Diceros bicornis minor: one gene and its partner. The protein of the gene in region 2 purifies or fractionates together with the protein of the main gene of each other region. This does not show direct contact. Links are inferred from orthologs where the notes say so. Each region holds a gene or a part of one and is shown on either strand. Other genes may lie near its edges.

Region 1 (16,203 bases), on a different chromosome or scaffold from region 2:
AACATGCTAAGTGAAAAAAATCAAGACACAAAAGGCCACATATTGTATGATTCCATTTATATGAAATGTCCAGAACAGGCAAATCCACAGAGACAGAGTACAGGTTAATGGTTGCCAGGGGCTGCGGGGAGGGGTGAATGGGGAGTGACTGTTAATAGGTATGGGTTTGTTTTTTTTTTTGGGGGGGGGGGATGATAAAAACATTCTGGAATCAGGTAGTTGTGATGATTGCACAACTGTGAATATACTAAAAACCACCAAATTGTCTACTTTTAAAATAGTGAATTCGGGGCTGGCCCGGTGGCACAAGCGGTTAAGTGCGCGCACTCCGCTGCGGCAGCCCGGGGTTCGCTTATTCGGATCCCGGGCGCGCACCGACATACCGCTTGGCAAGCCATGCTGTGGCGGCATCCCACATAAAGTGGAGGAAGATGGGCACGGATGTTAGCCCAGGGCCAGTCTTCCTCAGCAAAAAAAGAGGAGGATTGGCAGATGTTAGCTCAGGGCTGATCTTCCTCACAAAAAATAAAAAATAAAATAAAATAGTGAATTTTATGGTATATGAATTTTATCTCAATAAAGCCGTTTTTAAAAAACTGAAGGAACATTTAGAGAAGGAGCTGAGAATAGGGCAAGAGGTAGAAGGGATAAAGCTAAACAGATAAGCTGAGCACAGACAAGAGTTTGGCTTAAATTCCAGAGTCACTGGGGAGCCAGCAAAGGTTTCTAAGAAATAGTGAGTCACAGGCTCAGAACTGTGGCTTGAGGATGATTACTTTGCAGTAGTGTAGAGAATGTACATTTATGTCCCTTTCTATCTTTACATGGTAAGATTCTCACTTATATGCCTCACATCGCCTAAGGATTCACAAGTAGAATATTAAGTAAAACATACTTCTCTGACACCCTTTGTATGGTCAAAGAGTGAAGTAATGCTTAAAAATACATTTAAATCAGTGCATATTTAAGCACCACACAGCACTATTTCCTTGTGTTTTAGGGGGATACTTCAAAAGAGTAAGAGAAAGAAGGGACCAAAGTCAACAAAACACAGATGCCAAAATTATAAAAATATTCAGTATCACTGCGGCAAGCTGCTCAATAAATGCTAGCTGACTCAAAACCACTAGTAAGAACAACACAACAAGTGACTTGGCTTAACCTTGTTTGTTGTTATACAAAATCCAATCAATCGCTGTTTGCAGAAAATATTTCTAAGGTTCAAAGTATAAAATCCCTTAACCAGGTTTCAATCTGTTTTGAACATTCCATTTGAAACGGAAGTCAGCTGAGTCATTATCACATAACATACTACTGCTGAAAATTCAAAATGCTTTTCCCTAGTTACAAGAGTAGAAAAGCTAGGATTTCTGCTTCATAGCCAACTCACACACACAGTATGCAAATCATTTTAAAAATAAGACCACCTTAATAGGAAGTTTAAGCTATATTTATTTTCATGGTGCTTTTTTTTTTTTTTTTGAAGAAAGAAACTATGCCTTAGTCGGATGTTACTTTCTCGCTTTTGAATCTTAAAATCTCCTTTTTATTGATACTATTTCGCTCCTCTGACATCCTCCCCATAACACAATATTTCTTAATCTTTGGGGAGCCAGACCCTTTGAAATCTGATAAATGCTAAGGACCATCTCTCTTAAAGCACACATATAATTTTTCAAACTACTTCATACTATGTGTGGTCCCTCTGTGGAATCCAGGATGAGAACCCCTGTTCTGGTGGCACAATGTCACTCTCACTTCAACGGGGCATTCTTTTTAAGAATGCATATCACACGTCCAGGACCTATGTTTCATTTTCTTACCAGGGTTACCAGTTTATCACTGGTGAAAGCTGAAAACAAGCAACTTTTATGTCTAACAATAACCTTTGAAAAAGCTGCAATCACTACAATTGATCAATTTAAACATGAAGACCTGTGATTAGAAGACCAGGAAACTATTTAAAATTATATCTCAGTTTAAACTAATTGCTTGGCATAACCTAAAACAAAAGAAACATTGAGTTAGTGCAAAAGTAAAAGTACTGGGTAAACTTCCAGTTAATTTGCTTAAAAATGGTGAGGGAGGGAGCCCGATGTGGTGTCCTCAGGACAAACACATCACTTATGTGATGTTTCTGCCAAAAAGGTTTAACCTGAATCTAATGCTACAGAAACAATCAGATAAATCCAAACTGAAGCCTGCAGAAACTAGCCTGGACTATTCCAAAATGTAAATGTCATGAAAGGGGAAGAAAAGGATAAGGAACTGTATCTGATGTAAGGAAATTACAGACAAGAAAACTAAATGCAATCCTGGATTAAGGAACTGAGGGAAAAGAATACCCATATTTAAAAAGACATTATTGGAACAATTTGAATACAGACTGAAGAGTATTGTAACAAAGTTAAACTTCCCTGTGCATGATAATTTAACTGTTGTTATGTAGAATGCCCTTGTTCTTGGGAGACACACGTTGTCTTATTTAGGGGTGAAGTGGCATGATAAAATAAATGTGGCAAAATACTAATAATCAGTAAACCTAGACAGAGATACAGGTGTTCAATGCACACTATTGTTGCTACTTCGCTGAAGGTTAGAATGATTTTTTAAGAAATTTTAAATGGGAGGACATTTTCTTGATTTTGAGTGAGAGACTTGTCCTAAGTCATCGGTCTGAGCAGAATATATACGGCACACATCTACTTTAGTCTCCCCAATCATGGGCAATACTTTTGAGGCTGTCATAAAACAGAACTGTAAGGACTTTAATTTATACTTGCAGACGTACTTCAGATGCCAAAATTCACAAGAGGTTATACAATGGATCTCAGATTTTTTAATGATGTTTATATTTAAATTTGCCACAGAGGGTTGTTACACATTTTAAAATTAAGCTTACAGTTTGTGATTCGTTTATTCTATCAATTAATTACCACAAAGCTGCCAAATTAAGCTAGAAAGAAACTTACCAATATGAATTTGCTGGCCTACTAACCGTATCACAGGAAAGCAACAGAAAAGCTTAACGAAATCAGAAGATAACTTTTTTTTCAGATAAAGGTTGATGAATTTCAAGAGCAGGGTCCACCTCATCTAGAGAAAACGAATGCCCTGGTTTACTCCTGTCGTCCCTAGTCTTTTCTTATTTAATAGCATTTGTCCCAGGCAAAAGAGTCTCAGATAAAGGTGTTCCAGTTTAGATGCTACATTATATGGTACTACATCATCTTTAACTGTTGTTGTATAATGGCATTTAATAACTGAGTTTGGGGAAAAAAAGAATCAGCATAACATGAAGCATGTTAACTTCTACTTTAAATAATATACCCTACATTACAGTAAATTCATTACCAGAATGGGCACAAAATATGGTTAAGATCATTGTTCTTACATTTTCAGAAAGAAAGAAGCTAAAGTTTTCTTTTTTCTATAGTGCAATATAAAATAAAATACTGCATAGTTGGAAGAACCCTATAGTTATCATGAGCCAAAAGGCCTGTTTGAATCCCAACTCTGTCACTTGTTAGAGAATATAACCTTGACTAAGTTACTGGATCTGTCTCAATCATAGCTTTCTCATTTGTAAAATGAAAGGGTCAGAATACTGGCTAGTCTCTATTTAATGTCATGGTCCAGCTCTAAATACTCAATGATTCTATAGCTTTGGCCTCCAAAATATTTTTAAAAATTACATCAGTTGAGTTAGACTAGAAGAGATTTTTTACAACTGGAAAGTGTAACATCACCTTCTCTACAGAAAGTCCTATTTCTGTTCTGACCTGTTCAGAGGCTAGGTCAATCTCCCATTCACCCAAGACCCCTGTGTATTTAGACTCCTCTCACAACTAATCCCAGATTAGTCAGCAGCCAAATCCCAGATTCTACTTCCCCAGTATCTCACACTCGCCCCTCTTTCCTACCACCACTTTAATTCAGGTCTTGCCTAGATCACTAGTTATCATTATTCTATCATATCACTACCCACCCAAAAACATACAATAGCTCCCCACTATCTAAAGATTCATGTAAAAATTCCTCAACCTGATATTTAAGAACCTCTGCATCTGCTCCCAACTTTATATGCCAATCCAATGAACTACTCACTGCTATTTAAAAATTCCCTGTACTTTCTGGATTTTGTGCCTTTTTTCTGCTCCTCTTCTTACACTACCCTTTTCTCTGCTTTTCAAAATTGATTCCATTCTTTAAAGTTCAGTTCCAACGGTGAGAACTCCCATGTAGACATTATAGTTCCCTCTTTTGAACACCCATGACACTGACTATAAAGTGACAATTTTAATGGCCAACAGTGAATTAAGAAAGAGTTTACCTAGGGTAGTAAACTAAATTTATCTTTTGTGCCAATTTTGTTTAAATGGCACTGGCTACCTGGCACACTGTCTTGAGGAGGATTTGCAGCTTTGCAGAGGAAAAGGAGAATGGAAATACATCTCTGATATTCAGAGACAGAGCTTCCAAACTAGCGGTCCACAAAATAGAGTTTGGACTTTCATGGTATTAAAACGTTTAAATTGGGGCCTGCCCCGTGGCTTGGCAGTTAAGTGTACACGCTCCGCCACTGGCAGACCCGGTTCGGATCCCGAGCGCACACCGACGCACCGCTTCTCCGGCCATGCTGAGGCGGCGTCCGTCCCACATACGGCAACTAGAAGGATGTGCAACTATGACATACAACTATCTACTGGGGCTTTGGGGAGAAAAAGGGAAAAAAAAAAAAAGAAGAAGAATTGACAATGTATGTTAGCTCAGAGCAGGTCTTCCTCAGCAAAAAGAGGAGGACTGGCATGGATGTTAGCTCAGGGCTGATCTCACCCCCACCCCCCAAAAAAAAGTTTAAATTAATTTAACATTTAAAGATTTCACCTTAAAAATCCAAATCTTCAGTTATCTTCACGAAATGTAAAGATCTAAAACAGTGGTTCTCAACTGGGGGTGACTCTTGCCCCCCAGGGGATATCTGGCAATATCTGAACACATTTTTGATTGTCACAACTGGGTGGGGAGTGCCACTGGCAGATGCTGTCCAGCATCCCACAATGCACAGGGCAGACTTCACAACAATAAATTTTCTGGTCCAAAATATCAACAGTACCCAGGTAAGAAACTCTGATCTAGAAGAACTGCACGTATCTGTGGGTTCTGCCTCCCCAAGGAGATTTTCAAATTTTTCAATGTAAAGAACCACGCCTCTAGTAAGAGACAATACAATATAGTTCAAAGCTCGACAGCTCCTCCAATTACTTACCAGTGGTGTGGCCTCCTGAAAGTTCCTTAACCTCTTGGTGTCCCAAATTCTTCATCCATAAAACAAGGATAATAGTACCTACCTCACACAGTGTTCCAGGGATCAGATGAGTCCATGTAAAGTCTTCAGAAAAGAGTGTCAAGGCAGATAGAAGCATTCAATAAATTTAGCTACTGCCATTCTTCCCCTCCCTAGTGCCTAGTCTCGCACTTGGAACATGGAAGATGCTCAAGAAATGTTTATTGGAAAATAATGCCTTGACTTCCTGGGGAGAGCACGAATGGGTCAAGACAGATATACTCTTCTTATCTGGGAAAAAGGAAGCATAGAACTAGAGAGAATTGAACGGAAGCAGTTGCCCACCTAATCACATCTCTCCCTCCTCAGAACACTTTCACCCTTTAGGAAATGTTCCCCTCTCATGGTCCTTAGTACACACTGCCTTGTAACCTCCTTGACACTTATTTTTCCTTTTCGTTCCTTCTGACCAACTGAAGATCCTCAAGTATATCAATGGGATGGTATCTTCTTCTGATCCCTACATCACTGACCTTGTATTAGTTATTTAATACTTATTAGTTTGCCTACCAGATTGTACATGCTCTCTGTGGCCTTTTTATATGACTCCCGTGACTCCCTTTACATAACCCAAGGGCCTACAGACCTTTGCAACTGGCTGGCCCAAACCTCTGTTTTATAGATTAGGCACAGAGGCTAAGTGATTTGCCAAGAGTCAAGGTCATATTGTAAGTGGCAGAGCTGGGATTCAAATTCCGATACAGAAACTCCAAGTTCTATCCAACTGTAATAGTATATAAAAATTATACCTGTGGTAGACACAATTTTTAATTAAGTCCCAGAAAACCTCCATAGGAATTATACTGATACAATTACCTGACAAAGCAAAAATGGAAGGAGAAACAGACCCAAACTCCAAGCTCCTTTCTGCTGCTGAAATTACACCTTAAAAACTCAACCTGTTTTCTTTCATGGTTTCATATCTTAACATTTAATAACTTTTGACAATAAAACTTACTTAAATGTCCAATGAACAGTTACTTAGTCAGTGATGTCAGGGTTAATTTCCTTTAAATGATCCCATAATTATTCTGAATAACAAAAAAATCTCTTATTTGGTAAGCCAATAATGCCCATCCTTCACCAACCAAACAGATTCTTTAATGATCACCTTAACAGATTAATATCTATAAAACTCAAAAGACCAGCAATTTGGAATGATTCTATGTGGTGAAAAGTAACCAGACGATTTGATTTGTGAGTGTTAATAAACCTCAACATAAATCTAAAAACAGTCATCAAGCACAAATTATATTAAGAACTGAGATAGGAGAAATTTTATTTCATTCTATCCAAGTGAAAGCTGCTCACTGATTAAATTAATCTAGAAGTTTCTCGAGTGTCCCAATATGATGCAAAAGAAAACGGCGAATAAGAAAGGAAAAGACTGTAAGACAACATGAATGTGAAAAAGAGTTAAATCCAGTGCAATGCCCTGATGCTTAAGCAATTACAGCTCAATAACGCTGAATATTTCCATGAAGGCATCGTTTAAAAAACAAAAAACTCCCTTTGTGGCGATGATTTAAGATACCAGTGCAAAAGCACTCAGGCCCAAAAGCAATGATAACCACTTAATGGGAACAGGTTTTTAATTATTTTACCGGCTATTAAAAGGGCACACATCGAACGTAGACACAAACGTAGTTTCAAAAAAAAAAACAAAACAGTTTATGCTTGGTAAAGTTCAAGGGCAAAACTGTTTCCACTGCAACAGAACCCGCCTGACTACAATGTGCTGAAAAAAATGCGAACACATAGTATCTTTTTATAAGGGCAACAATTTGAGTTACAAAGTAATAACGGGGAAGCCAAAACAGTTTGACAGCCCGCCATAAGGGCCGCCTCAATCATGAGTCACACAATGCCTGCAACCATTTACAATAGTAATTAATGCACAAGTCCCCTAATTAAATTCTAAAAGGGTAAGAATGCTTTAACTAAGTTTACAAGAATTGCTTTTCGCTGTTCCCCCCCCACAAAGAAAGGAACACACGCGTAATTACGCATCTCCCCGGAATCCCTCCATCCAATATTCCCTCTGGCCTCTTCTCCCGAATGCCTGTCCCCTGCGTGCGAAAGAAAATGACACGGGGGAACTTATAACCCCAGAAAGGGCGAACCAGAGTGGAAATACACGATTAACGGGGCGAGAGACGGAAAGCTCGCCCATCTTACCTGCTAAGATTCCTTTCTACGTCTTTGGTAGCTTTAGCTTCCAATTCTCTGGAACAGAAAAGAAAAGAAAGAGTGAGAGATGCGCGTGAAAACGGAGCTGCTGCGGCAGAGGCTCGCGCCGGAGCCGGATGGGGGAGGGGAGGGGCGCCCGGGGGGGCTCACAAAGCTGCGGGGCTGCAGCCCGGACTGCGGGCAGGCGGCGCGGGCGAGCCGCAGCCCCCGGCCCGGCCCCAGCGGCGCAGCGCGGCCCCTCCGGGCCTGCCGCCCGGCCTCCGCAGCGGCGCCGCCCGCGCCCCCCGCCAAGCCCCGAGGTCCCCGGGACGCCCGGCGCCGCCGCCGCCGCCCCCAGTCGCGGGCCCTGCGGCAGCGCCCGAGGCTCCTCCCGCCCGGAGGGAGGCCCCCGCCCCGCTCACCTCATGTGTGTAAAGTGCACGAGCAAGTGGGGCGCGGCGAGTGAGGCTCGCGAGCCTCAAGCCCTCCGCAGCGCCGCGGGGAGAGGCCCGAGCCGCTGCACCAGCGCCATTTTCTACACCGACCCGCTGCCGCCGCCGCCGCCGCCGCCGCCGCCACAGCCGCCGCAGGCCTCAGACCGGAAGTGAATGCCCCACTCGGCAACCCCTTCCGGGGGCGCCGCGGCCGGCGGCCTCAAGATGGAGGCCCTAGCAACTGGACCCGCAGACGGGGCAGGCCCTTGGCAACCGCCCGGGCGCGGCGCGCGGCCCCCCGCCGGACCTCCCTGGCGGGCCTCACAGCCTCCGAGGCGCCCCGCGGAGCGGCTGGGGGGCCCGCCGAGCCCCGAGCCCAGCCTTTCTCGCCGCGGCCGCCTCTGATCTGACTCGAGTCCCTCCCCTCCTCCTCCTTCTTTGCTGCGACACAAGTTTCCTTCCCTGCCACCCGGCCCCTCCCCCACTGACACACACATCAAAAAAAAAAAAAAAAAATCGCCTAAACCGCAAATTCTACCCTTGCTGCAGGGTGATGAGCCCGCTCCGGCTTTTGAAATCCGCCACTTCTAATCATTTTTGACCTTGGGCCAATTATTTAACCTCCCTGCTTCTCTGTTTCCTCCGCAGGTAAAGAATGCGTACCTGAGGCGGGCGGTGAGGTTTAAAAGCGATTTGTATCTACCGAATTTTGCAGACCATTGACTCGACAATTCCACTTGCCCGAATTTCTGTTCAGAAAATAATCTGAGTTATCTGCGAATATTACACCGCCAAGATATCAAGTCCGGGCATTGATGATAGTAAAAACTGTAAACGGCTAAAATGTCCAACATTAGGAGGTGGCCTTAAAAACCGAACTCCTGGTATGCCTTAGGATACTGTAAAAATGATGTGGAGGAAGACTAACGGAATGGGGAAAATGGTTACAGTAGAAAAGGTGAAAAAGCAGGTACCAAAAGTGGCTCACATGGTAAAAAAACATATAGACACAGTAAGATACATACGTGTAGATAAAGTTAAAAAATAATACCTACATGTGGATACAAGATGCTTACATACCTACAGGTAGATACAGCAATATACATACATGTAGATACAATAAGATACATATATCCCTGTGTAATATGTGTGTATTTTTTCCATCCTCTCACAATGCTTTTTTTTCCTAAAGATAAATCCTCTTCTGCTTAAAATTCATTCCTTCTCGGAAACCTCACTCTATGGATCATACCATTTTCCTCTTTCTAAATAGGTCCTTCCACTGGCTTGAGAACATGCCCAAATCTCTCCCATTAAAAAAAAACAAAATCGCCTTCACTGCCTGGTTCCTAACCACTTTGAGGGAGATGTGTAATAAATAAGTTAATGAATAAATGAATGGATGGATGCACAGAAAGTCCTAAAGCATATGCACCAAAATATTAACTGATGACATTATGAGGTTTTTAATTTTCTTCTCTTAATGTATCTGGCTTTTGGGGGGTTTTTTGTTTGTTTCATTTTTATACAATGAGCATGTGAAAAAAGGTTTTTTTAAATCAAGTTTACAAAATATAAAATGTAGGGACCACCAATACATGCTAGTGACTTTCCTTTTCCTGCCATCATCCCTAAGGTTGATTCATCCATACATGTATTTGGTTTGGTTTTCTTTTATTGTTCTTTCTACTAAAATGTTAAAAATTATATTACAGTATCTCTTTAGGAGTTAAAAAATACTAACATGTATGTATAGCACAATAGGCTTTCACACCAGGTTCATGAATAATTTTCCACAACAGCATAAGGCAATGAAAACAGTAGTATTTATCAACATTTACACAGGTAAGATTAGCTGGTTTGTTGTTGTTGTTGTTAGACTTTCTTAGGTTTGAATAACTCAGTGGTTCTCAATTGGGGCAATTTTGCACACATCCCCCCCAAAGGACATTTAGCAATGGCTGGTTTTTGGTTGTCACAACTGGATGCTACCGGTTATCTAGTGAGTAGAGGCCAGGAATCCTGCTAAACATCCTACAATGCACAGAACAGTCCCCCACGACACAAGAGCATTTGAACCAAAATGCCAATAGCACACAAGGTTGAGAAACACTGGAACTAATTCCCAGCCCCAGGGAAACTGAGGAGATAGAATTTCTTGAAGTTCTTTCCAGAGTGGTTGACATGTCCCATATGACCCCTTCAGGGCTGCATTATGAAGTCAAACTAATCACTTTTTAATGATCTCTTACTTAAACTTGGTGCATAAGGGTAGGTCAAAGAAGAATGACAATATAAGATCAGCACTGATTCCTTATCAGGAACCTACTAAGGGATCTTCTCCTCTTGTCATTCTTTCTCTTTATTAAATAATTAATCTCTCTTTATATTGAATATTTCCCATCACCATACAAACATATTCTAGTAACTTCCACTAAAAAAAAAAAAAATGCAAACAAAACCAAAACAACTTTGTTGATGCTTCATTCCTCTCCAGCTTCATTGTTTTGCTCTCCTTCCCAGCAAAGCTTCTTGAAAAAGTGTTCTACGCCAGCTGCTTCCAGCACCTCCTTTCCCAACTCACTCTAAGCTGACATCCCTCACTTCTCCCTCAAAATCACTCTTATCAAGGTCACAAATGACCTAGAAGCCGCAAACTCAATGGTAACATTTCTATTCTGATCTTCATTTATTTCTTAGCTGTATTTGCCACAACTACCCACCCCCACCTTCTTAAGAAGGTCTCTTTTCCTGGCTGTCTTGGCAGCACATTCTCCTGAATTTCTTTTTACCTCTCTAGCCATTCCTTTGTTTTGTTTCCTTTGCCAGCATCTCTTGCTTTATGCCTATTAAATGTTGGAGGTCCCCAAGGCTCTGTTCAAGACTTTTCCCTGTCTCATCTCCACTTTCTCCTTAGAATGAGTGATCTCATCCATTCTCCTGTATTTAAATACTATCTAAATGCAGATGACTCTCACATTCATATCTTTAGCCCCTATCTCAACTGTGTACCCTAGAATGCCAAAATGACACTTCCCCCGGGCAACACATATTTATTGAGCACCTGCTATGTACTAGGAAATGTACTAGGGCCTGGTTCTCTGGCACTTGTAAGGAACCTTTCTGGTGGATTAAGTCTAATGCAGGAGACAGATTTTTTTTTAAGAAAACTATAAAGCTTATAAGTAAAAATTATGACAAGTGCACAGAAGGAAAGAACTGTTGCTCTAAGAAAGTGTAAAACAAAAGAAGATGACACAGATTGTGTGGTCAAACAGGGTTTCTTTGACAGTGTAAAGCTTCAGTTGAGAGCTGAAGGATGAGGGGCAGCCAACTCAGGATCCAGGGAACAGCAAAGGAGGGGTCTCAGGCTGGAGGTTTAAATTTATGGGTCCTCATTGTGAATGAAAACAGGCTTCCTATTGTATTTGGCTTTAAATCCAGTGGAGCCACCATTTTTATTTTACTTGCATAATCAATTAGGAACAAAACCAGAAACAAGGTCCTCTGTAGAGTAATGGGTTTCATTAACACAGCTCATTTGAGTAAGCAAATGCCATTTCCTACAACAGGCATATTTTCTAGATTAAGTGAATATTAGAGTATTTTCCTTGCCTCATGGTTGAGGTTTACAGTTCGAGAATTTGTATATAACATTAAATGTCTTTCCTACAGTAACTTTCTATGGAATAGCTTAGGAAGAATCTGTAACTATCTTAGGAAGCTTCTTGTTGCTTCTTAGTGACCATAATAAGAAACAGAGGCTGTACAAATTTAAACTTAAAACCTTTTTGCCACTTGTCTTTCTTCCTTGGGTTTTTCGTTCCGTTGGTTTCTGATTTTACCAGAACATAAATGTTCTTCAACCCTCTCTTCTTTGTCTTCCTGAGAAAGGTGAATGATTAGCCTAATACTTGGAAAATTATGTACTTGAAAGAAAAGCATTCTTTTCTCCTAAGGCTCTACCAAATACCATGTTGAGATATACATGTATTTTTTTAGGCAAAGCTCACTCAAAATATTTTTAAATTTAGGAAATTTTCTGCAATAATGTATAAATGGAAATTGAAGACATGAACATGCATAAGATTTCCTGGAGAGACCGTATTTATTTTATCTAACTAAAATTTATTTGGTACTTAATATGTGCCAGTCATGTGCTGTTCTAAGTGCTTTACAAATATTAACTAATCGTTATTGTTGTGCTCACACAGCCCTATGAGGGAGGATGTTAGCCCCGTTTTACAGATGACAATAATTAACTTGGCCAAAGTTACCTAAATAGTAAGTGGTAAAACCAAGCATTTTGGCTCCGGAGCCCAGATCACTAACCACTATATTGTAGATCGGTTTTTCTCAACCATATTAGATGCTGCAGCCCCTTTTGATGAGAAATACTTTGTAACACTACCCCTTACTATTCCAAAATGATAATCATAGATAATATAATCTATCTAAAACATAATTTAAAAATCATATATAATGACTTATCACTGACATAAAGGAGAAAGAAGAGAAAAGTAAGTATAGCAAAATAAAATGTCTTTCACTATGTAAATGCTTGAGAATGTCTACACTGGAAGACACAGTAAAGTAGGCAGATGCTGACAGCTATGTGTAGAATCACTACTACAAATGCAGACTGACACAGCAGTGTGGGATTGATTACCAATACGCCAAAAACTGTAGTGATGTTGGAGACGTAATTTATCTGGAAGAGAAAACAACTCTCAGTCAAGTTCTGAACCACTAGAAAACAATTCTCCCTCGATTTACGTGGTAATTGCATTACTGGAAATTTTAGGGTATATTAAGACTGACAAAGTGAGGTGTTAGGTCCTCAGATAATTATAAACATGCCTTTTGCCTATGTGAGTGTTCAGTGAGAGGGGGAGTTCTCTATTGTGTGGGACTATCGCTGTCTGGCATCCGTGGCGCCTATCCACTGAAACTTAATAGCACAGCCCCACCTTTTTGTGACAACCAAAAACACTTCACTGGTTTCCCCAACCCCTCTGTGGAGGGGAGGTGAAGTATTACTTTGTTGAGAACCATTGCTATGGAGTGAGAAAAGAGCAGAGGAAGGAATGCTGAGGAAGTCTGATACTCCAGTGAAGAATCTAGAAAGGTAGGATTAACAGGATTAAGTCTAGTATAAGGGGGCCACGTGGTGCCTCTCAGACTGACGGGTCAAAATTTAGTCTCCTTATTCCTTCTCTGTCCCTCTCCCCCCACCACACACAAACCTGCCCCAAAATGGACAGTTTTCTCCACGTCGGTATAACACTACCAGTTACCAAGCTGCCGCAGCCAGAAACCTGAGTCAGTTTTGACTCTTCCCTCCCCTGCATCCGTGCATCAATAAGTTATTTTGTTTCCGAACTTCACTTATTCTTTCCTTCCTCTGCTTCTCCACTGCCACCCTCAGTACACTCTGAAAACTCCACAGATTCTTTTTCTTCCTCTTTTTTTTTTTTTTCTGGTTGTGGTATATTTTGCATACAATAAAGTGCACACATTTAAAGTGAAAAATTCAATGAGTTTTGACAAATAAACACACTTATGTAACCATTACTGCAATCAATGTATAGAACACTTCTGTCACCCCAGGAAATGCCCTTGTGCCCCTTTTCATCACTTATCTGCTCCCTGCCCTCCCCCGCACTGACACACACACCCCCCTGACACCAGGAAACCACTCTTCTGATTTATATCACTATAAATTAGTACTGTCTGTTCTAGAACCTCATATAAATGGAATCATACAGTATATATCCTTTTGTGCCTGGCTTCTCTTGCTGAACTTAATGTCTCTGAGGGTCATTCATGTTGTTGCATGTATTAGAAGTTCATTCCTTTTTATTATTGAGAAGTATTCCATTGAATGAATGTACCAAAGTTTGTTTACCACCCTCCTGTTCATTGACATTTGGGTTGTTTCCACTTCGGGGTTATTATGAATAAAACTGCTATGAACGTTCTTGTACAAGTCTTTTTTGTGGACAGTAGACATATGTTTTTATTTCTCTTGGATAAATAGCTAGGAATAGAATTACTGAGTCACAGGATAAGTGTCTATTTAGCTATATAAGAAACTATAAAATGCTTCTAAAATGGTGACCCCGGGTTACATTTCCAATCCCAGGAAAAGTTCCGGTTGCTCTACATCCTGGCCAGCATTGTACACATTCACTCTTTGCCTCTTGAAACCATTCTCCATACAGCAGCCTTAGCGATTTTTCTTAAAATGAAAACTTGATCATCTCAATCTCCAGCTTAAAATAATTCAAAGGCTTTCCAGGGCTCTTGATTCAGAGCCTAATATTTTTAACATGATCTGCAGTGTCTCCCCAGTGTTAGCTCCACTCACTCCCCCTTGCTCACAAGCTCTAGAAAATACAAGAGCTCTTTGTTCTTTTTCTAAAAGGTGCCCAGCTCCCTCACCCAGACTGCTCCTAACCATCCTTCAGCTCTCAACCCCTGTGTAACTTTTTCAGGAAAGACTTTTCTGACCATCACCTGCTGGACGCCATTAGGAGTCCCAATCACATATTCTAAAGGGATCCTCTACTTCTTCTTCAAGAGTGATTACGTTTGTAATGTAGTATTTCTGTCATTGTTTGTTTAATCTTTGATTCTCCAGATTCTTTGTAAGCTCCAGCAGAGCAAGGACCGTGTCTGTCTTGTTCTCCTGTTATCTGTAGCATCTAGCACAATGCCTAATAAAAATTAAGGCCCTTAACAATACTTATTAAATGAAGGAGTGATTTCTCCATGCTTGGCTCACCTCCCTCTATCCAAATATCCACACTACCACCCCAATGGTCTTTCTAACAAATACAGCTGATCAGGTCTTGCTGCAGCTTACAATTCTAATGGCTCTCTATAGTCTATAGAATACTGTCTGAAACCCCTTGTCTAGTATAAAAGGCTCTTCAAGAACTCTTACTACCTAACCTGCCCAATTTCTTAGAATTCTTATTTTGTGTTCAAATGATATTGAATTATTGCCATTTTCTCTTGTTGTTCAATGCCTCTATGACTTGCACATGTTATTTCCTCTTAGTGGAACACCTCTTCTATTATGTCTACCTAACAAACTCCCACTTCAAAGCTCAGTTCACATGTTACCTCCTTTGACAAGCCTTCCCTGAGCTTCTCTGCACCTCATACCCATGTAAATGGGACTCAAGTACCAGTACTAACTTAAGACTTCACTGACTCTTGTCCCCTCCTATTCAGGTGGAAATTCAGCCCTCTAGAAAAAAACTCTTGAGCATTTAGGGCTGGAATCCCACGTGGTCTCATGAGATAACTCATTTTATCCAGGCACTGCTGGCTTGTAAGGCCCCCAAGTGTGGGGACTTATCTGCTGTGTTCAGTGTTGCAGTCCCGTATCTAGAGCCGTGCCCAGGAGGAATTAAACATTAAATTAATATTTGTTGAATGGTGAAAAATAAACGTTGTCTTTCTTCCAAGCAATTCCATAATGTATGTCAAGGTGCATCATTGTTTTCCCAGACACCTGCTTATTACCATCTTGACTACCAGCAAAAACTAGATTCTCTTAGAGATCTGTTTGGTTTCTTAGATCTGCTGGGTTTTGCTTTATCTGACAGATGCAAACAACATTCTTTCCATGATGCTCTTGTCTCCCACCAGATCCACCAGGCACCTTTACTGTTTTGTTGAGGATAAAGTGGGTGCTTCTACCTCTTACTAGGGCAACATTCACTGTTAAAATAATCTGTTGTTTCTCTGCTTTTTTCTCTGAATGGAACAAGTGAGAATGGCACCCCGCTTTTCCTTGAGGGCCAACTTCCTTCACTCTCAGTCCATTAATTTTGGTGGAGAAATGCTGCATGAAGCAGTTTTATATTTAAAAATGTTTTATACCCACTGACCAAATTTAGGATAATTTGAACATTAAAATAAAGAATGATAGTAAGGGAGTATAACCTACTCATTAAAATAGGAAACTATATGTATAGAGCAATGTATATCATTTGTTTATTAAACATTGGATGAGGAACAATGTACATCATTCATTTATTAAACATTCATTTAGTAAACATCCACTTCCAACTAAGATGGAGCAACCAAAACTATATTCACCCTCCCTCTTGAAACAGCTAACAATACAGACAAAATTTATGAAACAACAGTTTTCAAGACATTGAACATCAAGTAACTAAAGACAGTGATCCCTGAGAGATGCGAAACAAATGAAGGGAACCCTATGATTGCTCTAGA
Region 2 (16,731 bases):
CAAAATTTTCCTCTCTACTGGATTATTCCCTTCAGCATACAAATATGCTATAATTTCTCTTGTCTTAAAAAAAAAAATTTAAACTTTCTTGACTCTACTTCCTCCGCGTCTCAACATCCCATTTCTCTGCTCCCCTTTGCATCAAAATCCCTTGAAGGATTTTTCTCTAACTGCTCTTCTCCTTTCTCTCTTAAACCTTCTCAACTAAGGTTTTCCTCCACCAAAACTACTGTTATCAAGGTCCCCAATGAGCTCCACGTTGCTAAATTCAACGATTCTTGAACATTAGAGTATAAATTGTTCCAACTTAACACATCTTCTTCACTTGCCTCCTCACTCTGTCCTGGTTTTCTCCTATCCTAATGACCTCTCCATGACAGGCTCCTTGATGATACTACCTCATTTCCCCAATTTTTAAATATTGGGATGCCTCAAGACTCAGTCCTGGAATCTCACTTTCTCTAACTACACTCACTGCCTACATGATCTCATCCAGCCTCATGGCTTTCCCATCAATACGCTGAAGACTGTCAAATATTTGTTTTCAGCCTGGACCTCTCCCCGGCAGCCAACCTCATATAGTCAACTTCCTGTTCAATATCTCCACAAGGATGTCTAATAGACCTCTCAACTCTAAAATGCCCAAAATGGGTCTCCTGATCTGCCAGCCCTCTTGGCTTCTCCCATAGTTTTCCCCATTCTGATAAATGGAAACTCCATTTTTCTACTTGCTCAGGACAAAAAACCTAGAATCAATCAATCATGACTCACTTCTTTCTCTCATACCCCATGTTCAATCTATCAGCAAATCTTGTTGACACTACCTTCAAAATACTCGTAGAATCTGACCATTTCTTATCACTGTCACTTTTACTACCCAAGTCCAAGCCACTATCACTTTTCACCCTTATAAGTGCCTTGTAATTGATTTCCTTGCTTTTCACTTTTTCCTAGTAGGGTTCACCTTCACCACAGCAGTCAGAGCGATCCATTAAAAATCTAGGTTAGTCCTATCACGTCTGCTCAAAACTCATCTAATCAGAGTGAACGCTAAAGACTATGTATGATAGGACCTTTTGGAGTTTCCCTAACCTCATCTCCTGTCACTCACTCCAGCAATACAGGCCTATCTGCTGTTCCCTGAATATACTGTGCAAGCTGCTGCCTCTGCCTGGAATTCTCTTCACCCAGATACTGCTCACCTCCTCTAGGTTTGTCCTCAAATGTCACTTTTCAGTGAGGCCTTTCCTAACTAAACTATTAAAACAACCATTCTATTAAAATATTATATATATTTAATATATATTACATATATATAATATATATATAATATCTCAGTGGCTCACCCCCACCCCCATTCCCTATCTTCCATCCCTGCTTTATTTTTCTTCACGGCACTTATCACTAACAAGTAATATGTTTTGTTTGTTTATTCATTTATTTTTGGTCTTTTCCCCCATAAGAATATAAGCTCCTTAGGGGTAAGAACTTCTGTCTGTTTTGTTCATGTCGTATTCCCAGAAAATAGAACAATACCTGGCACATAGTAAGCATCCAAGAAAATATTAGTTAAATGGATTAATGTTAGCTATGAACATCACTTCTATTACAATTGATCTCAGTTATACAATAACCAAACAATTATGGGCTTGCATGAGATTGAACTGTACCAGAAAGCCAAATTATTGATCTATAATGAGAAAAAAAAATCAAGCAGTATAAAACATTTCACTTGACAGCAAGGGCATTCTTAGAAAAGCAAGAATCTTAATATCAAGGACTGCTTGACTATCACAATGTGGAAACAGAAAAGGAAAGTGGGTATTCTCAGTGCACTGTAAGAATATCTATTACAGGACTATGTCTTCACACTTGGTAAATTCCTCCCATACAGACCACGATGGTTAAATTGTATCATCTAGACCCCTCTTGGATAACGCTAGAATTAAACAGATCTCTCTAAGCTTACGTTTTTCAATACTCCAAGATGATTCTGTCTTTATACTTATATTTTGCTCATGTCTAATACCACTACTTAATAAAATTTGAATTTCCAGATAGTTCTATTTCCCATATTCCCTATTCTTATAAATTTCTGCTACCCTTGGACAATGAAAGAGTGACCTTTCTTCTTCATTCAATACGTATTTACTGATTGAACAATGATGTATCCAGCACTCTGCTAGAATCTGTGGAGGAAACCTAAGTATGAGACAGCAAACCTGCTATTAAGAAACTCACCATCTCAGAGAAAAATAAAGCCTACATGTTGAAAGAATTTAGAGAACAATATGATACATAATAAATTATGTGTATTTAAATATATTGAAGTCTACTCATTCTAATCCTTACCTGTTGACTCTACGAGGCCGTTTTTCTGGTTTAATATCCACATCATAGTGATACACATCTATTTTAGGAATCTGAACCTGAAAATGATTGGCTAACAGTCGAATCGGTTTTCCAACAGTTCCAAGGCCAGGACGACGAGGTGGCTGAAACAGGCTGGTTGGAGGTCCTAAAAAGACAGAAAAACATTTGACGTGCTATTTGGTCATGAAGGATAATATTCCCTTCATGATCATGATGGTAATAATAACAATAGCAACAATTATTAAGATCTTATGATTCACTGAACATATTCTGACATAAAGAGTTTGGAGTGTCTTTTGACATAAACTTCTCTAGATTTCTAAATATTTTGCCATGTTGCTGTTATTTTGAATATGGGGGACATCAAAATTAGATAGTATGATGAACTCCTCTCAGAGGTAGGCTACTGTACAAAACCTTTTATGAGCATCAGTAGATCTATACCTAGGCTTACAAAATTATATGCATTTTAAAACAAGACCATCTCTAAATTCTGGGGGCCATCACCTTGTTCAGGGTGGAGATGATCCATTAATCCTCCACAAATTAGCCTGCATTATTTTAGTTTGTACAGACAGGAGGAGATTAAACAGCTGCTATATTTATCAATTTACTTGCTAATTTAGAAGTGAAACAATACCAATAATGATATACTTTCTTGTTTATAACCTTGTATTTTTAGAATCTGGACAATAGATCATAAGGTCTAGTTTATTTATTTAACAAACATTTATTCATTTATTAAATGTCTAACCTGCACTATGGACTCAGGAAAAAGACAGAGCCTCTGCCTTGAAGGAACCTACAGTCTAGACCAGTGGTTTTCAAGCTGGGGGAGATTTTGTCCCCCAGAAAACATTTGGCAAATGTCTGGAGACATTTTTGGTTGTCACAGCTTGGGGGGTGCTACTGACATGTAGTGGGTAGGGGCTGAGGATACAGCTAAACATCCTACAATGCACAGGACAGCCCCCTCCCCCCCAACAAAGAAGTAACCAGTCCAAAATATCAATAGTGCTGAGGTTGAGAAACCCTGGTGTAGACGAGCAGTCTTTCCAAATTATTCCGTTGATGGTTCACAAGATTATTTCACACACACACAAAAAAAAAAGGATTCCATAAGCTAAAGAAACTGTATATTCCCTTCTTAAAATTCCAATGTACATTATCGTATTAAATTCTCTAACAAGTCACGTAATAAATAAACCTGCTTAACTTTAATTCATTGTTTACCCAACTTATTTTTCCCCAGAACTCTCTCTCTCTTTTTAAAATCAAACATCTACCAATATTCAGTAGATAAGGATTTGGGGAAACACAGTCTGGAAAATATTTGTCTACAGAAAACCTTACTCCTTCTTGATGATAACGTTAAGTGAACACTGGCCTAAAAAATAAACATCTTTTCTGCTATGAATAGGTGTTGAGTAAAATGGGCTGTGATTCCAATGGAAAGTTACAACATGTTCTCTTATTGCAATGGCATTTCACCAAGAACAAAGACAATCCACTAAGGAGAGAAAACTTCGAAGCAAGAAGCTGTTCTAGTCCAACATCACTTATGAAAATCAAAGCAAACACTTTAAGTAATTGTGTTAACATATCACCATATACTAATTCTTAAAGTACTGAAAATCTTTTCACATATTAAATTAATTGTTCACTCTTCCCCTAAATTCTACTCATCATTCAAAACTCAGGTCAAGTGTGACCTCCTTGGAAAGCCTTTCCGGAATCTCCTAGACTGTGGGATGCATCCTCTGTGTTCCCAAGACCCTCTGTATAAGGCAGCACTTAGCATAAGTACTTAGAAACAACTTGTTAATTACTCTGTCTCCTCCACTAGACTGTAAACTCTTAGAAGAAATGGATCTCAGGTTTATTGTTATCTCTCCCGTATTCAGTATTCAACAACTAGCACAATGTAGGAATTCAATAAACGTCGAGCTGAACAGTACCGATAATCCTTGTAGCAGTTCCAGATAGAAACTAAACAGAAACTCCGTCATTTCTAAAACCCAATAGCTGATAATTATTTTTCATTAAAGCAAAAAATTTATAATAAAAATATTATTATTGCTTGGAGTTGACTCCACTTCTTATGTACAAGGGGATCTACTCTGGGTGTGATGAGACATTTACAATCAAGGTAAGAGGTAAAAGGCATACTGAATTAACCCAATTAAATCATATAGATAAATCAGCCCTGCATATTGCAAGATACACTTAAGCAATCATTGTATCACAAATCCAGCTTTATGATAGAAATTTGGAAACAGAAATTTGGATCAAATGACTTGCCCAAGGACACATGACTTTGATTTTAAATCATGACTAGAATCTAGGTCTCCTAACTCCCAGTCCCATGCTTTTTCTTCCCGAATATACTTCACAAACCTATGGTATCTATATCTCTCTGAAGAACTTGATGCCCAAGGGACAGAAGCAGAGGAAATGAAAGAAAAGGGATTAAGAAGTGGAGAAAAGAAATGTGTTTCTTTTCCCTGGCAAGAGAGAAAAGTTAGAAGGTGAGTGACCAATTCTTTTAATAAATTTAGAAGATTTATTTAGAAAACTATATTCTAAAATTTTCCATTCCAAAAGCTGCTTTCTTTGAATTTAGCAAACTATTTATGAAGAAATAAAGCACAGTGGCTAAGGCTCTGGAACCAAACTGCCTGGGTTTCAATCCAGTTTTACCACTCTGTAACTGCATGACCTTGGGCTAGTTTCTTAGCCTCTCTATGGCTTAGTTTCCTCATCTATAAAATGGGGCAGGTATGGTAATAACAGCCTGTAGCTCATAAGGCTATTGTGAGGATCCCATGAGACAAGTATACAAAAGGCTTAACACAGTGCCTCTTAATAGTAAGTGCTCAATAAATGTTAGCTATATGATTGCACTTGCATAAGCGTTACCGGCAGTGATCAAAGATCCCTGGGCTTTATATTGGCAGCATCTCCAAAACTTGGTGACAAAGTTAGCAAATTACATCTTCCGAAAAGGAAACAAATAAGAATGAACAAAGACTGGATGAAGTCAGCCTTAAATGAAGAGGAGTGCATTAGACTAGAAGTTGGATGACCCAGACATCCTCATTTCACCACTCAGCCTTCAGACCTTGATGAAGTCACTTAAGCTCTCTGAACCTCTTTTCTCATCTGTAAAATGGGGATAATACATGCCTTGCCCACCTCACAGAGGATCAAATGAGCTAAGAGCTATGAAAGCACTTTTCAAACTGTAAAGCACTGTAAAAATAAAAGTTATCATTAATATAACCAAAATAAATGGAAATAAATATATTTCCAAGCTATTATTGTCAGAAACCGAAATGGGGTGAGGGAGAGCAGAGCAAGATGAAGAATGCTTCAATGATTGTTCAAGTGAGGAGAGCACAAGGCACTAGATCAGTGTGCTTTAACAAAGAAGCAGGAAAGGTTCTCTAGGTTCTACAACAGCCTGGATGAAATATCCCACAAGACTAGCAACTCCCTTTGTTCTGATTCTATGCTCAGCAAGCAGCTTCTTGTTATTAATTGGGTTTCCAAAGTACCGTGATACCAAAAAAGGAGTTTGCCAAACAGCAGACAAGAAAATGTTCCAGTCAACAGAAAAGATCTATGTGACATTTTGGTTTATTCCTTCGTGTCATATAAATGTGGTTAGTGAGAATTAATTTTCCACAATCCTGGGTGAACTGATAAGTCTTCAAACCTGCAAAAGCTAAAATCAAACAAAGAAAGAGTCTCTGGTATGTTCCTAACACCACCAGGTTGATCTTTTCCACGAAATTCAGTTTGTACACACAGTTACACAGTCTCTTTCAATATCAGCTCATAAATGCAACAGTTGCTTCAATTATGAGTTACTAACAGGAGAGGAGGGAAGAAACATTTTTTGAATATCTACAATGCATTAGGCCTACAATAAGACTTCTCACATACATTATCTCATTTCATTCTCACCACAAGCTTGCAGCACATAATTATTATTACCCTCATTTTATAGATGAGGAAATGAAAGTTCAAAGAAATTAAGTAATTTGCCCAAGGTTATACAACTATTAAATTATTAGATTGGATTTGAACAGAAGTCTGTTACATTCCTAAAGACCTGATCATGCCTTTAGCTGGGGGACACAGCTGAAGTAACCTAGCGTAATATTTACATTGGGCTTATCAAATAATATTAATATGACAAAACCAATTTATTTTTAAAAGCCATATGAAATTTGATCATGAGGGTCTTTAAAAAGTACTTTAAGTAGCAAATTAAGGTGGAGTTTAATCATTCAGCTATGTAAAAAAGTTCTAAGTAAACAAACCTGCAAACTTTCCAAATTCAAATGGTAAACAGAATTTTCTATGCACTGAAAAAATGAAATGCTGTACAACTAAGTCCACTATGTAGATAAGGTTTGATATTAAAGTTAATTCTATCACAGCCCCTAAACCCTGCCCTACTTAGCTAAGGCATTAGAAACCTGTTGGGGTTCAAGGTGGGAGCACCAGGCTCCAATCTGCAGGGCATTAGTTACAACCTGGAATGGTTCCTCTGGTTTGTGCAGAGTGGGAGAGAGAACCAGAGGCTCTTTATTGGTAAAGATGGGGAATTAGTTTCCAAAGGGCTTTCTTCTTCATTTGATCCTCACAACCAACCATAACCCAGTTAGAAGAAAACTCGGGGCATTAAAGCTTGTGCTGGAGCAGGCTGGCTGGTAACTGGCCTGTCACTAAAGCGCTAGCCCAGATTACTCTGGGACTGTCACACAGAATGACAGGACCATATTCAGAGACTTCAGGGCCTTAGAGAAAGGGTGGGTACTTTGCCCCTTGGCCTTCGGGGATCATGAGAAGTGTTTAGGGGAAGTTCTTCTTCTTCCTTATCTGAGGGCTCTAGACCATCTGCCAGGGCAAAGAAAAATAGGGGTGCGGCCCCAAACCAAGAATGCCCTGGTAGTGGGTGCGGGTCCTTCGCAGTGAGGTCCAGGCCAGGTCTCCGCTGAGCACCTGGCACAGACCGTCCCTTCTGAGGCCCAAACTGGCCTCGCCTCAACCTGGAGGACAGACCACCTCCTGAGGCTGGGTTTGGTCTCCCCTCTAGCTGGGGACGCGGGTCACCTTCCTGGGCCTCCCTCCCTTAGACCTCGAGATCGGCTCATTTCTCCAGGCTGGGGCGCGGTCCCCGCCCCCCGAGGCCCGGGTCAGCTCCCTTCGCCTTGTGCAATGGGACACGGGTCCCTTTCCCCGAGGCCTGACAGCCCGAGCCCAGGTACGCGCGAGCCGACGGGGGCGACAGGGAGCGACGGTCCCGCCCACCCGCCCACCGGTCCCGGGGCCCAGTCCCGGCCCCGGCCCGAGCGCGCTCCTCACCGGGTCCCAGCGCCTCCATGGCGGCGGCGGGGGCCGCCTCGCCCCGGTCCCCGGCGCCTCCCGCTCCGGGCCCCGCCGCCGCCGCCGCCGCGTAACGCTTGATCTCCGGAATTTTGGCGCTGGGGGGGGGGGCGCCGCGGAGACGCGGACGCTGGGCAGGGGGCGGCGGCGGCGCCCGGCCCGGGGACAGGGACCCGGCTCCTGCGGCTCTTCCGGCCTCAGCGACAACAAAAACAATCCCCGCCGCCGCCGCCGCTGCCAGCGGGAGCGGGAGCAGGAGCCAGCGCGCGCGCCCGAGGGGCGGGGAGGGGGCGTGGGGCTCGGGGCGCGCGCGGCCCGGGGTCCCGGCTCGCGGAGGGGTCGTGCGCGGCCCCGGGCGCCGGGTCCACCGAGCCCGGCGGGGGGCAGGGGGCGGGGCGGGGCGGGGGCGGGCGCGCGCCCGGAGCGGGCAGTGCCCCCAGGACGTGTCGGGTGCGCGCCTGCCCGCCCGCGCTGCCCTGTCCGCCCAGGGCGGCCCTCCCCGGCAAACGGCTCTGGGGGGCTATGTGCGGTCCTCCCAGAGCCTCCTGACGCAAGTGCCCTGCAGAAGATTGGGATTCAAGATCCCGCTGATCCACACAGTTCTCCCCTTCTGTGGGTGGAAAGTGTCCTGAGTTTCACATCGGGCACCTCTCCTCCTTCCTCCCACCTCAAACTACTTATTTCTCCTCTTTCTCCACTGTCCTGGGACAGAGAACACCAGGGTCACTACAGACGCAGCTCTTTTCCTCCACTTCTTCATGCAACACCACACACCCAGTTGCCCTTCCCTCCCCATGCTGCCAGAAAGCACCACGGGAATAGACCACGATGAATGATGCATTCTCTCCCTGGTCCATGACAAGCACCTCTGGTCAGCAAGTCACCAGTTGCTTCAGAAGAGAAAAATCTTTCTTTCCCGGATGACTTCACTTTAGCAGCCACGAGCCAAGGGAACAACACTCTCGCCAAGGCAGCATGGTCAGTCCAGCAGGCCCAGCATCCTTGGGGCTTTTAGATGGGACTTTGAGTTAGAGAATATAGGACTACAGGCCAAGAAGCAGTTTCTAGTCAGCAGAATGAAGGAGCCCTCTGTCCGCCAGTTTAAAAGGTACAATGTGTATGTGTTGTATTGGTTTGCTAGGGCTGCCATTACAAAGAACTACAGACTGAGTGACTTAAACAACAGAAATTTATTTTCTCATAGTTCTGGAGGCTAGACATCCAAGATCAACGATTGGTTTCTTCTGAGGTCTCTCTCTTTGGCTTGTAGGTGGCCATCTTCTCCCTGTGTCTTCACATGGTCTTCCCTCTGTACATGTTTGTGTCCAAATTTCCTCTTATAAGGACATCAGTCGTGTTGGACTAGGGCCCACCTTACAGTCTTCATTTTAACTTAATTACCTCTTTGAAGACCCTATATCTAAATACAGTCACATTCTGAGGTACTTGGGGTTAGGATTTTGACATGAATTTTGAGGGGGACACAATTCAGCCCATAACGTGTGTAGTGAGATATTCATTTGAGCACCTACCATGTGCAGCCATAGAGCCAAGTAACTTTTGTATGTAATGATAAAAAATATTAGGAGCACACCATGGCCAGGCACTGTATTATGGGCTTCACATGTCATTTAATCTTCACAGCCACCTATAAGGTAGATATTATTAAGAAAGGTATTTGTAAAGATGAAGAAACTGAAGCTCGGGGAAGCTAAGGAAGTCAGCACGCATTATATGATACAGCAGTGAAGCATGGAAAAATTGGAGTTCTAAATCTTGCATTACAGTCTTGGCCAATTCCATCCCTGATGGGCTATGGCACTGAGACTTTTTTTTTTTTAAGTTTTATTTATTTATTTTTTCCCCCAAAGCCCCAGTAGATAGTTGTATGTCACAGCTGCACATCCCTCTAGTCGCTGCATGTGGGACGCGGCCTCAGCATGGCCGGAGAAGCGGTGCGTCGGTGCGCGCCCGGGATTCGAACCCTGGGCCGCCAGCAGCGGAGCGCGCACATCATTGAGACTTTTAATGAAGTGTAGATTCTAGTCTACTGATACCATAGTCCAAGTTCGTTCCATAGCACCATGCTACTTCTCCATTAAACCAGATATAAACTGGAAACAATAATAGGAGACAGAAAGTTTGAAGGGGAGGAAGTATTCACTAACTGAACAGACTGGTTTACAGCTAAGAGGCTAAGAAAAAACAACTAGAGGTCAAGTTTTGAGTTAAACCTAGTAGCCACTTCCCTTCTTCTCCACTCCAGGCTAAATTCTTCTCACAGTTGAAACAGTGCTGGTGCTTCCAGCCTGGTTTGAAGCTGACTTTCCCACTCTCACTTCCTGACAAATTTTCCCCATATTCTATTTGCTACCCTGTGCAGAGACCGTAGCTTGTTTCCTGTACTGAAAATAGCCTCGGAAACCTGAGTATGAAATGTATTTACCCCACAGTTTCAGTCGAGACTGCATTGCCTCAATCCCTGATCATCTCAAACTCTGATCACCTACATTCTCATTCCAAAACTCACTTCCACTCAGGCACCCACGGCCCCCTTCCCAAAGACCCTTCTGACTGAACCCTCCCAAACCTAAGTTCTATAGTCAATAAACTCCCTTAAACCTCAGCCAGTGCAGCAAGCCCTCCCTCTACTTCCTGCTGTGGCTGAGAAGCCATGCCCCAGAATACCACTTCCCCCTCAGTTCTCTCTGATGGTGGTTGCTCATTCCCCCACACCCCACACGTCTACAGGATAGGGTGGGGGGTGGGTAGAGAATCGGCGATATATTTGCCCCCATTGCACCAAACCTTGAATTCTCATTCTCCTATTAAAACCACTTGCCATCTGGCCAAACCACCACAGGGCCTTCCTTGGTGGTATAATTAACTCAGCTCCTGGTCTTATGTCTCAGTCCAGGCCTGGCTCCCTTTGCATTATAAATCCTTGAGGGAAGGACTTATGCCTTACTCAGGTATTCAGCTTTGTGTTTCTGTTGCGTAACACATTACCTGGCACCAAATGTCTATTCAGGGAAATTTATGGAATGAATGAATGAGCAAGTAATGTATAAATAGTGGGAGCTAGAAATGGTCTAGTGGAGGGGCCTAGGTGAAAAACTCTTGGTGAACTTTCAGCTTCTCCAGGGCATACTTTCGAATCAGATGGTCCTGGTTCAAATCCCAGTTCTACAACATACTAGCTCTAAGTACCTGGGACAAGTCCCTTCACTTAACTGCTCAAAGATGTTGTGAGGAGGAAGTTAAATCGTATATGTGCACATTCCTGTGTGTCTGGCACGGAGTAAGTACCCAATACTTACTAATTCCCTTCCCTTCACTCTTTTTTCCCAGCTAAAAGCTGCTCCTCTGCCTCTGTCTTGCTGTCCCTTGAGAGACAGTGAGTTCAAGGTCTCAGCTCAGTCCAAGAGAGGGGCGCAGGGCCTTCAGGGACTGGGCATGTTTACATGCCCTGTGCCTGAGCCACCTGAGGACAGGGACTTGGCTCACCCATCTGAGGATGAGAGCCAGAACATACTCAAGGTTTATGAATGAAACTGAACTTCTTGAATGTGTCAATTCTCGCCTGAGACCAGATTGAGCCGGAGAGAGCCTCGCTAGTGGACACCGTGCCAGAAGGCAGGCCTCCAGCGACCCACGCTGCTTTATTCCAACCCTCCTCTGGGCCACTGGTCTGTGTTGGTGTTTTGACTCCCCGGCCTCACCTCACCTACTAAAGTTCCGCAAGTCTGGAGCTTAGAAGTAGAGGAGGAGCTTCTTTGCAATTAATCAATTGGGCCAGGGGCTTTCACTTTTCTTTAGCTGGGGAACCCCTTATTCAAACAAAAATCTTAAGTGGGAGCTGAAGTAGAGCCATTCTGGCTGAGAAGGACAGGGACCTGCATTAACACTACTGAACTAGAGACACCACCTGGCATCCAAATAGAATTTCTGCCCACCTGCTCCTACTCCATCGACAGCCTTGCTCTTTTGCATATATTTTTTTTTTTTGCTGAGGAAGACCGGCCCTGAGCTAACATCTATTGCCAATCCTCCTCCTTTTTTTTCCCCTTTTTCTCTCCAAAGCCCCAGTAGATAGTTGTATGTCATCGTTGCACATCCTTCTAGTTGCTGTATATGGGACGCCGCCTCAGCATGGCTGGAGAAGCGGTGCGTCGGTGCACGCCCGGGATCCGAACCCGGGCCGCCAGTAGCAGAGCGCACGCACCTAACTGCTAAGCCACGGGGCTGGCCTCCCTTTTGCATTTTTTTAATTGAGACATGATTCACATACCATAAAATTCACCATTTTAAAGTGTAAAATTTAGTGGTTTTTAGTGTATTCACAAGGTTGTGCAATCACCACCACTATCTAATTCCAAAACATTTTCATCACTCCGAAAAGAAACTTGTACCCATTAACAAGCAGTCACTCCTCATTCCTTCTTCTCCCCAGCCCCGGGCAACCACTAATTTACATTTTCTCTGTATGGATTTGCCTATTCTGGACATTTCATAAAAATGGAATCATACAATATGTGGTCTTTTGTATCTACTTTCTTTCACTTAGCATAATGTTTTCAAGGTTCAAATAACATTCCATTGTATGTATACATCATATTTTATTTATCCATTCATTGATGGACATTTGGGTTGTTTCCACTTTTGGGCTATAATAATGCTACTATGAACATTTCTCTCTTTCTTTTTTTCTTTTTTTGGTGAGGAGGATCAGCCCTGAGCTAACATCCATGCCAATCCTCCTCTTTTTGCTGAGGAAGACTGGCCCTGGGCTAACATCCGTGGCCATCTTCCTCCACTTTATATGGGACGCTGCCACAGCACGGCCTGACAAGCGGTGCATCAGTGCCCGCCCGGGATCCGAACCTGGGTTGCCAGCAGTGGAGTGCACACACTTAACCGCTACACCACAAGGCTGGCCCCTGCTATGAACATTTCTGTACCAGTTTTTGTGTAGATATAAGTTTTCAATTCTTTTGGCTATATACCTGGGTGTAGAATTGCTGGATTATATGGTAACTCAACTTATTGAGGAACTGTTTTCCACAATGGCTATACTATTTTACATTCTCATCAGCAACGTATGAGGGTTCTAATTTCTCCTCATTCTCGCCAACACTTGTTCTTTTCAGATTTACAAAAAAATTGTAGCTATCCTCGTGGGTATGAAATGGTATCTCACTGTGGATTTGGTTTGCATTTCCCTAAGGACTAAGGATGTTGAGCATCTATTGATGTACCTATTGGCCATTTGTATATTTTCTTTGAAGAAATGTTGATTTAAATCCTCTGCCCTTTTAAAAATTGGGTTATCTTTTTTATCATTCGGTTGTAGGAATACTTTATACATTGTAGATATTAAGTCCCTTATCAGATATATGATGTGCAAAACTTTTCTCCCATATTGTGGGATGTCCTTTCACTTTCTTTATGGTGTCTTTGAAGCACAGAAGTTTTTAATTTAGAAGAAGTCCAATTTTTCTTTGATTGCTTGTGCTTTTTTGTTATCATATCTAAGAAACCTAATTCAAGGTTATGAAGATTTATTCCTGTGTTGTCTTCTAAGAGGTTTATAGTTTTAGCTCTTACATTTAGGTCTTTGATCTATTATGAGTTAACTTTTATATATGATGTGAGGAAGTGGTTCAAATTCGTTCTTTTGCATGTGAATACCCAGTTGTTCAAGCACCATTTGTTGAAGACTATTCTTTCTCCCAATGAATAGTCTAGTACCCTTGTTAAAATCAATCCACTGTAAATATAAATGTTTATTTCTGGATGCTCAATTCTAGTCTCTCAATCTTACATCTGTTGTTATGCTAGTATCACACTGTCTTGATTACTGTAGGTTTGTAGTAAGTTTTGAAATCAGGAAGTGTAAGTCTTCCAACTTTGTTCTTCTTTTTCAAGGTTGTTCTGGCTATTTTGGGTCTCTTACATTTCTATATGAATTTTAGGATCAGCTTGTCCATTTCTGCAAAAAAAAAAAAGGCAGTTGGAATTTTGATAGGGATTGCATTGAATCTGTAGATCAGTTTCTGGAGTATTGCCATCTTAACAATATGAAGTATTCCAATCCATGAACACGGGATATCCTTGCATTTATTAAGGTCTTTTTAAATTCCTTTCAACAATTTTTTGTAGTTTTCAGGGTACAAATCTTACAGTTCTTTGGTTAAATTTATTCCTAAGTATTTTATTTTTTTTAGTGCTATTGCAAATGGAATTTATTTTCTTCATTTCGTTTTTGGATTGTTCATTGCTAATGTATAGAAATACAACTGATTTTTTATATTAATCTTGTATCCATAACTTTACTGAATTTGCTTATTACCTCTAGCAGTTTTGTTTGTGTGGATTTTTTAGTGTTTTCTATATATAAGATCATGTTATCTGCAAATAGAGATAGTTTTACTTCTTCTTTTCCAATATGGATGCTTTCTATTTTATATTCTTGTTTAATTGCCCTGGCTAGAACTTCCAGTACAATGTTGAATAGAAGTGGCCCTGTTTTTGTATTTTGCAGGTAGTTTTCTACATATTCATGGTCTAGGGGCCAGAAATGGAGAGACTTGGCAACTATATTTGATTTTGCCATCTTTGTCAATGAGACAGCATGGCTAGCAAGGAAAGCAATGCATGAGGCTTGATAAACAAATCAATTAATATGTTTGTTTTTACTTTCAGCCTTTATTTCTACTACACATTTTAACCAGGACAATTGATTTTTCTTTCTCTTCTTCAAGATGAAGCAAAGGGAATGAATTAGGGAATGAGATAAACCTGGACTTGAATTCCAATTCTATGTTGTAATTCTCAAATTTCAATTCTAGAGGCCATGTGATATTGAGTAAGTCACCTCACCTCTCTGAACCTCAGCTTCCTCATCCGTAAAACAGAGATGACACTAACTGCTTCATAGAGTTATTGAGAGGATCAAAGAAGATAATGAATGGAAAACACCTAACACAGTGCCTGGCACTTAGAAAGGGCTCAAAAAATGCCCAATCCTGTTGACTTCCTCTCCAGCCCTGAATAAGCCTCCTTTATTCGTAGGTTAGAGAAAATAACGAATTTTAAAAAGACTTTTCTAATACCCAGAGTAGTTTAATAAAGGAAGGGTTCTAGGGAAGTAGTGAGCTCTAGGCTCCAGGGGGTGTTCAAGCGTCTTTGAGATGACAAAAAGGTAAGGTCAGATGATTTTTGTGGTTCCTTAGAGTCTATTAAGTTATGTGAAAATATTTATTGACTTACGTGTTATTCAAATTTTTTTCAGCAACTATTTATTGAGTATCTACCATGTGCCAGACCCTGTGCTAGGTAATGGGAATACAAGAGTGAGCCAGAGAAGCTGAGTTCCTGTCCTCATGGAGTTCACAGTCTTGAAGTGAGACTAACAATAAAAAGAAAACAAACGAAAATGAAAGAATAAGGTAATTACAAACTGTGATGAGAGCTGTAGAATAAATAAACAAAATGGGATAGAGTACCTAGGGGGGCCACTTCTGGGAATAGCAGAAAGGGATAGCCTCTCTGATACAGTGACATTTGAGCTGAGAACTTGTGGTGATTTTAAACATGGCCACGAATTCTTTGACATTTCACCCATTAAGAGGTGGGGTCTGTGTCCCCTCCCTTTGAATATGAGTGGGCTTGTGGCCACTTTGACCCATAGAAAACTGCAGAATTGATGCCATGTGACTTCCACAGCTAGGTCATAAAGGTCATATAGTGTTTACCTTGCTTGCTGGAGCCCTCTCTCTGGGAGCCCAAAGCTGCCATACAAGAAGCCTGACTACATTGGGGCCGCCACGTTAGAGAGGTCATGTGTAGTTGCTCCAGTTGGCCATACCAGCTAAGACCAGCTTTCCAGTTGTTCCTGCTAAGGTGCCACACACATGAGTAAAAAAGCCTCTAGATGATTCCAGCCACCAGCCATTTGAGTCACCCCCATCTATTTGAGTCTTGCTAGCTGAGGCTCCAAACATTGCTGAACAGGGACAAACCCTTTCCACTATTATTTTTCTGAATTCCTGACCCACAGAATTCATGAGCATAATAAAATGGTTGTTTCCTTTTTTTTTTTTTTTTGGTGAGGAAGATTGGCCCTGAGCTAACATCCATTGCCAATCTTCCTCTTTTTGCTGAGGAAGATTAGCCCTGAGCTAACATCTGTGCCAATCTTCCTCTACTTTGTATGTGGGACGCCGCCACAGCATGGCTTGATGAGCGGTGCGTAGGTCCACGCCCAGGATTCAAACCTGCAAAGCCCAGGCTGCCAAATTGGAGTGCTCAAACTTAACCACTATGCCACCGGGCCAGCCCCTCCTTTTTTTTTCAATTGAGATATAGGTGACATAAATGTTATATTAGTTTCAGGTGTACAACATAATGATTTGATATTTGTATATATTGTGAAATAATCACCACAATAAATCTAGTTAACATCCTTTACCACACGTAGTTACAAATATCTTTTTCTTGTGATGAGAACTTTGAAGATCTACTCTCTTAGCAACTTTCAAATATACAACACAGTATTATTAACCATTGTCACTATGCTGTACATTACATCCCCAGGGCTTATTTATTTTATAACTGGAAATTTGTATCTTTTGACCCCCTTTATCCATTTTGCCCACCCCAATCCCCCACCTCTGGCAGCCATCAATCTGTTCTCTGTATCTAGTTCAGTTTTTTGTTTTTCTTTTTTTTAGATTCCACATATAAGTGAGATCATATGGTATTTGTCTTTCTCTGTCTGACTTATTTCACTTAGCATAGTGCCCTCATGGTCTACCCATGTCGCAAATGGCAAGATTTTCTTCTTTTTTATGGACTGAATAATACTTCATTGTATATATATATATATACCACATTTGCTTTATCCATTCATTCATTGATGGACACTTAGGTTGCTTCCATGTCTTGACTATTATATAT

Evidence for each region.
Region 1: the proteins of AGO4 (region 2) and TNRC6A purify together in Homo sapiens (co-immunoprecipitation; 4 studies listed by BioGRID and IntAct, with this or other methods). This does not show direct contact. The link is inferred for Diceros bicornis minor from reciprocal best matches to the Homo sapiens genes AGO4 and TNRC6A.

What each region holds. Positions count from the first base shown.
Region 1 is NC_080765.1:27,279,552-27,295,754, forward strand, and holds the start of TNRC6A (trinucleotide repeat-containing gene 6A protein), read right to left. Parts: upstream 8,068-16,203; 5' UTR 7,944-8,067; coding exon 7,939-7,943; intron 7,574-7,938; coding exon 7,526-7,573; intron 1-7,525.
Region 2 is NC_080752.1:50,074,058-50,090,788, reverse strand, and holds the start of AGO4 (protein argonaute-4), read right to left. Parts: upstream 8,037-16,731; 5' UTR 7,769-8,036; coding exon 7,750-7,768; intron 2,519-7,749; coding exon 2,353-2,518; intron 1-2,352.